Linked DNA regions of Saccharomyces cerevisiae S288C. The gene in region 2 interacts genetically with the main gene of each other region. Each region holds a gene or a part of one and is shown on either strand. Other genes may lie near its edges.

Evidence for each region.
Region 1: mutations in HXT14 (region 2) and AAD4 together harm fitness more than expected from each alone (negative genetic interaction), as found in Saccharomyces cerevisiae (one large-scale study listed by BioGRID).

What each region holds. Positions count from the first base shown.
Region 1 is NC_001136.10:17,077-20,612, forward strand, and holds AAD4 (putative aryl-alcohol dehydrogenase), read right to left. Parts: upstream 1,491-3,536; coding exon 501-1,490; downstream 1-500. Other genes in the region: THI13 (4-amino-5-hydroxymethyl-2-methylpyrimidine phosphate synthase), read left to right, coding at 1-150; YDL242W (uncharacterized protein), read left to right, coding at 1,883-2,236.
Region 2 is NC_001146.8:38,018-42,068, forward strand, and holds HXT14 (Hxt14p), read right to left. Parts: upstream 2,313-4,051; coding exon 690-2,312; downstream 1-689. Other genes in the region: YNL320W (uncharacterized protein), read left to right, coding at 1-537; cleavage polyadenylation factor subunit PFS2, read left to right, coding at 2,602-3,999. UniProt on the Saccharomyces cerevisiae protein: Probable glucose transporter.

The DNA.
Region 1 (3,536 bases), on a different chromosome or scaffold from region 2:
GACTATGTCTCGAACTACACTAATGAATACCTGTCCTGGCCAGAACCAGAAGAGGTTTCTGATCCTTTGGAAGCCCAAAGATTGATGGCTATTCATCAAGAAAAATGCAGACAGGAAGGTACTTTCAAGAGATTGGCTCTTCCAGCTTAAACGCACTTCGTCACTCCTCGAGCGTAGCCTTCCTCTACGACTTGTTTATGATTTCCCATTAGGTTTTTTTTCCTCCCTGATATTTAGATATTTACTATTAAGATATTATTTATGAGCCTTTTATTACAGCTTCTTTTCCCTTGTAATTATCGTACTTGCCTCCAAGTATCGAAAGTCTTGTGTTGCCTCGATTTACCACTTCAAATGCTGTAACCTGCACAATTTACGCCTGAATTAGGTGAGGGATAAAGACTGTTTTTAGGTGCGGCTTATTCAAAAGTATAAAAGTAGATAGCGTGGAATATATAAGGACATATTTCTTACACAAACGCACCAAAAAAGAAATCTGATTAATCGAAGGAAATCTGCGCAGACATTGCCGTGAGAAGTGAAGCCTTCTTGGTAACAGCCGGATCATCACCGATAAAATTAGTAGGAAAACCAACATCAAAAGGAATAATACTTTCTAAGTATTCTATCTGTTCTGGTGTCAGTTTGATACTTAAAGCCTCAATGTTCTGTTTGAGGTGTTCAATTTTCCTTCCACCAACCAATGGGAAAACATTTTTCGCCTTAGAGCGAACATAGGCAATAGCAATAGCAGTAACAGACTCAGTGCCATGTTCCTCAGCAACCTTGGCCAATGCTTCACTGATCTTAACCTCTTTATCCGTCTGTTTAGAAGTACCCGAAACAGTACGCAGACCCTCTCCATTCTTCTTCCGTTCCTCCATTGCTTTTTTACTCTGAAATCTTCCACCTCCCATAACATCCCATGGGGCTAGAGCCATACCAAAATGTCTGGCCATTGGAATGATATCGCGCTCAAAGTCCCTGTTCAACACATTCCATTTACCTTGATAGATACTAAAAGGAGTTTTCCCATGAGATGTGGCGTAGTAGTTTGCCGCAGAAACAACCCAAGCAGGTGTATCAGACACACCCAAATAGAGGACTTTGCCCTGCTGAACTAAAATATGCAAACTATCCATAACTTCTTCGATTGAACTCATATAATCCCACCAGTGAACGTAAAGTATATCAATCCAATCAGTTTGCAATTTGCGGAGAGAATCCCTCACACTCACATGTAAACTATGCTTGTGATTACCACAATAGTTGGCACTTTTACCGCCACCTACTTCATACTTCTTATAATCTCCGGTAAACTTGGTGGCAATTACAATTTGGTCACGCAACTTTCTTGATTTCATCCATTCACCTATCCAAATCTCTGACTCTTCATTTTGGTAACTGTTTGCAGTATCAATGCAATTACCTCCTGCTTCATAAAAAGCATCAAGAAGTTCAAAAGCCTGTTCCTTATTCATAGAGCCCATAAAGCCTGACCATGCATCGCCGATTGAAGCTCCTCCCAGAATTAGCGGTGAAACTCTTATGCCGGCAGTTTTAGAAAGAACCCTGAGACGTCCCAACTCGGTAGGTGGTTCAGGTAGAGGTTTAAATAATTCACTAATATTATTGAATAATATTTTGTAGCTATAGGAAGTGTATTCTAGTGAAATACAAAGCCGCTCAGTCAATTCGTCAGCTGGCCGATGAAAGGAAGAACTGCAACTGTCCTTGATCTGGAAATATTGTCATGACTTTTATATGGTTCAAAAATCTGCCCCCAATTTGTTCGAGGATATTTAGTGCAACTTAGTTGGGTCTTGGAACGAGGTCTGCTTACTAATTTTATGTTGACGGTTGAAAGCGGATTTTAAAACGTATGAATTTAGAAGAGAGCCAATCAAATAGGGGTACGCTTAATATTAAAAAAATATTAGTAATTGTTTGTATGACGAATAAAATTTGTAAGCACCTGATCCAATCCTTATTATTGAGCAAGAGACGTCTTGTTTCTGTACTCTTTGATAACTATCAAGGCGACATGAAACTAAGGTCATCTCCATCTGCCATTCCTCTAGTTCCGTCAACGAAAATTCTTCAAGCTATGGAGGCCCGGAACGACATTGTTGACAGTCTGATCATCAATAGTCACGCAACGGAAAGTGATCGCCGGACTTTAGGAGACCATGAGGTTAGACAATGTGAGGATACCAACTTCGGCTTCAAAATTTGATACAGGTTAATTTTGAAGGCAACATTTAGGTTCGGCCTTATTTAAAAAAACCTTCAGGTACGCGTTCAAGATCCCATTTTAAAGGTATAGGCAGATTGCACTATTTTACCGGCAAATGTGCGAATATCGAAACTGGAAGATGTTTTCAAGAAAATTGATTTAAGATCCATTTGTCGTGTTTAGAGTTCTCATTGTTCTGGTCAATGATTTCAAACTCAAAAGGCACAAGAAACTTACAAAATTTGTTTCTTATGAACATTACGCCATGTTCTTTGCGAGCATGTGCTATACAGTCTTGCTAGAAAATGGCCCTATAATTAGAAAGCTCAAAAAATAACCCAATGCTGCATCGATTTTTGGAGAAAGGGGGTCAATCATCATCTATCTTCATAAATAACGAGTTGCAGAAAAATTGGAAACTGGTTGATTTTGAAAAGTTTTCATTTTTCTGGCAACAAATTATAGCTACAAAAAAAGAAGTTATGGCGCATAAGATGCATCAATATATGGTGTGACCAGATTGGACGTAACTAGTACTCATGTTATTATTCATATCCTTCATTTTTCCTTCTTTTCTTCTCCTTCTCGAACAGTAACTTCAGATTGAAAGACGTGAGGATGCTTTAGAATGCACATTAAAATTAATATACTACTGGCCTCTTGTGTTTGTCATTGGCTTCTATTTTCAATAAAACATCCAGACAACCCTGCTGTTAATTTTGGAAAAAAAATTTCGCCGATTCTAATCATGTGACTCCTTTTCCCCAGGCAATACCGGAGAAAGCGTTCTATCTCAAACTATATAATTTGCGCTGCTCGTCTCCAAGCCCATGCTAGTGTTTACTTTCGGTTGTAAAAGGTAACTAGAAGTTTTAACGCAAGCATTGTATTATATTTTCCCACAATTGCTCTTAAGGACCTTTTTTTTTCTTGCGTGATCCTGCACTATTGAAAAGTCTTTATCAAAAATAGATGAAACTTTTTCAGGGTTCAACATTTAGAGGCTTTTCTCATATTCTTTACTCAGTTGCCTGCGAAGACCCTTCTGCCCGCTGCGCATTTTCTTAGAAAATCAAAAAAATTGCCTTTTCATCTTTTACCTTCCGAGTTGAATATGTTGACTATTTGCAAACAGGCGTATGATTGTCGTATATAACAGGGCACTTTCGGCAGTGAATCAATAGGAGGCGTATAAGAAAAGCCAATTAGTACCTATATATATATATATATATATATATATATATATATATTCCTTTATTATAATTCCTATCAGCGATTTTTGCATCACACCCAAGAAAAA
Region 2 (4,051 bases):
ATGAGTGTATTTATTTATTCGTATCGTGGTTATGGTAACTCAGAAGGTTCACCCAGCGAAAAGGGTTTGAAATTGGACGCTGATTGTGTCATATCGCATTTGTCAACGGATTCTTTCCATTCAAAGAGAAAACTAGTATTGTATGGTAGATCTCTAGGTGGTGCTAATGCTCTTTACATTGCTTCAAAATTTCGGGATCTATGCGATGGCGTTATACTGGAGAATACATTTTTGAGTATTCGAAAAGTTATCCCATATATTTTCCCCCTTTTGAAACGCTTTACGCTTTTATGTCACGAAATCTGGAATTCAGAAGGCCTTATGGGAAGCTGTAGTTCAGAGACGCCATTCTTGTTTTTAAGTGGATTAAAAGATGAAATCGTTCCACCCTTCCACATGAGGAAACTGTACGAAACATGTCCTAGTTCGAACAAAAAGATTTTCGAATTTCCACTTGGTTCACACAATGATACTATTATTCAAGATGGGTACTGGGATATAATAAGAGATTTTCTAATAGAGAAGGGTTTTATCTAAAAGTAATAATCAAAATATTTGATAGATTTATTTACTTTACTGTATGTAAAGAAAATGTGGTCAGTCCTCACGGCCACTTAGTTACTGATGGTTATTTATTATGGAAAAAAAAACTGCACTTTGCTACTTCTTCTATTTATATTATGTAATATCTACTCCGGTTCAAATATTTTATTGATCTCTTGCTCATTCTTTTTCCTCGTTTCAGGAACTAGTATCCAACTGAATATTATCAACGCTAATAGGCAAGCAGCAAATATGTATCCTAGTTTGAAATCAATTTTGGATACAATCATTGGTGTTAAAAGTGATATTAAGAAATTGAACATCCAATTGATAAATGTGCAAATAGCCATTGATATGGCCCTCGTTCTTAGAGGGAACAATTCGGACACTAGTACAAATGTAACTGGGCCCAATGTTATTGCAAACCAAAAAATAAAACAACAAGTCACGATAATTAAAACAATATTTGAGAAGTCCGTTTCTCTTCCAAATGTCCCCACAGTAGCATATGTCATCATATAAAATAATAAATTTGTTGAACCATATAATAAACATGTCTTGTGGCCCCATTTCTCCACGTAATATATGCCTAATATCGTAGAAAGGAAGTTAACACTTGACAGTATGATTGAAGTAATATAAGGATCCTTAATCCCGACACCTTTGAAAACAGACGTTCCGTAATAAAAGAAATAATTTATTCCGGACAGCTGTTGAAATGCCATTATCATCATACCAATAATCAGTCTCAACCATAACTTTGGCTTTCCCATAATAAATTCAAATGTGTTTCTTTTAACTAAGCTTTGCTTTTTTGATTCGTTGTTAGTTTCCTCATTATTATAGTTATTTTCCAGCAAATCATCGATGAATTCAATTACCATGCTATCCGTCGCAGGGATGCCATTCATCCTCGCAAAAGAGTATTTAGCAGAGGGCACATCATTTTTGATTTTTGCCAAGTACTGTGGAGATTCAGGAACGTAAACAAGTGACATTCCAATTATAATTGCCCAAATGTATCCCAAGAACAATGGCAATTGCCAGGCTATATTTTGTGTAGGATCTTTATAACATCTTTCGCATATGAAATTTAAAATGTTTCCCATTAGTATGCCAAATGTTACAATCAATTGATACGTAGATACCATGGAGCCTCTGATTTTTAGTGGAGAATTCTCGGAGAGAAACATTGGCACCAAGACAGTGGTTACTCCCACACCGATTCCCGTTACGGCTCTTCCCAATGTCAAAAAATACCACCTTCCATAGGAGAGAATTTGAATGGTTATACCGATGCAGTACACTACTAAGGCAAACCATATACCACCTTTCCTACCAATCCAATCACCGATTTTTGACAGAGTTAAAGCCCCTACGCCACAACTGATGTTAAAAATACTGATAATTAGGCCTATTTGCAGATCAGTAAGTTTCTTAGTAGATACAAAAATTGTTTCATCGTCATGGATAATATTAGTTGTGCCAAATTTTTCTTGAAAGCTAACCATATTTGTCATTCCACCGATGGTTCCAATGTCCCATCCAAAAATAAAGCCACCAAGCGAGATTACCAAGCACAATAAAACGGGAATATGCAGACTCGCATTGTGACTAATCTTTGCTGCTTGGCCTTCTATATTTTCTTCTTTATCATCTAGATACTTAATGGTTACATTATAATCCCTTCCCCTGCCTGCATCAAGCTCATTATTGTGAAAATGAGAGATGTATCCCGAGCTATGTTGATACGGAATCTGAGCAGTCATTTCTAGCAATAATTGAAGTACTTTACTTCCTAAGAATACGTTAACAAATTCTTTGTTAGTATTTCTAATTAAAAGTGGTTAATTGTTCTGTTAAACAGTATTCAATGTTGCTATTTGAATTTGTGTCATCATTAGAATTACTGACATTTTTATTTTCTATTTTTTTTTCTATTTTTTTTCCTCTTCTTTTGAGGGCCGACGTATCGATTTGTCAAGGGAAGTATAATTAAAGAAAGCACTGATATACAGGTTGCTGGGTAGATATTAAGAAGCTCAACATAGACACGTTATGGACGGGCATAATCAGAACCAGTACCAGAATCAGAATCAAATTCAGCAGTCACAACAACCACCTCTGAAGAAATATGTGACACAGAGACGATCGGTAGACGTGAGTTCTCCGTATATTAACCTATATTACAACAGACGACATGGATTACCGAACCTAGTGGTAGAGCCAGAAACTTCATACACAATAGATATAATGCCGCCTAATGCCTACAGAGGTCGAGATCGAGTCATAAATTTGCCCAGCAAATTTACGCATTTAAGCTCGAATAAAGTGAAACATGTGATACCCGCCATCCAATGGACCCCAGAAGGCAGAAGACTTGTAGTAGCAACTTATAGCGGAGAATTTTCTCTATGGAACGCATCTTCGTTTACGTTTGAAACCCTCATGCAAGCACATGATTCGGCTGTGACTACAATGAAATATTCTCACGACAGTGATTGGATGATTAGTGGGGACGCAGATGGAATGATTAAGATATGGCAACCAAACTTTAGTATGGTTAAAGAAATTGATGCTGCACACACGGAAAGTATTAGGGATATGGCATTCAGTAGTAACGACTCGAAATTTGTTACCTGTTCAGATGATAATATCTTGAAGATTTGGAACTTCAGCAATGGCAAACAAGAAAGAGTATTATCGGGGCACCACTGGGACGTGAAAAGTTGTGATTGGCATCCCGAGATGGGGTTAATTGCCTCCGCATCTAAGGACAATTTAGTAAAACTGTGGGATCCGCGTTCCGGAAACTGCATATCATCAATTCTGAAGTTCAAACATACTGTCTTGAAGACGCGATTTCAACCCACCAAGGGAAATCTATTAATGGCGATTTCAAAAGATAAATCGTGTCGTGTGTTCGACATTAGATACAGTATGAAGGAACTAATGTGTGTAAGAGATGAAACGGATTATATGACACTAGAATGGCACCCAATAAATGAATCTATGTTCACTCTGGCGTGCTATGACGGCTCGCTAAAGCATTTTGATCTTTTACAAAATCTAAACGAACCTATTTTGACTATTCCATACGCCCATGATAAGTGTATCACCTCGTTATCATATAATCCAGTAGGACATATATTTGCCACAGCAGCTAAGGATAGAACCATAAGATTTTGGACTAGAGCGAGGCCAATTGATCCTAATGCATATGATGATCCAACTTATAACAATAAGAAGATAAATGGATGGTTTTTTGGCATCAATAACGACATCAATGCTGTGAGAGAGAAGAGTGAATTCGGTGCGGCCCCGCCACCACCAGCTACACTTGAACCACATGCGTTACCAAACATGAATGGATTCATCAACAAGAAACCGCGTCAAGAAATCCCAGGCATCGATTCAAACATCAAGAGTTCCACATTGCCAGGTTTAAGCATATAAAAGTGCGCTTTGACGAGATTTTAGGATACATAAATAAAAAGACTATATAACA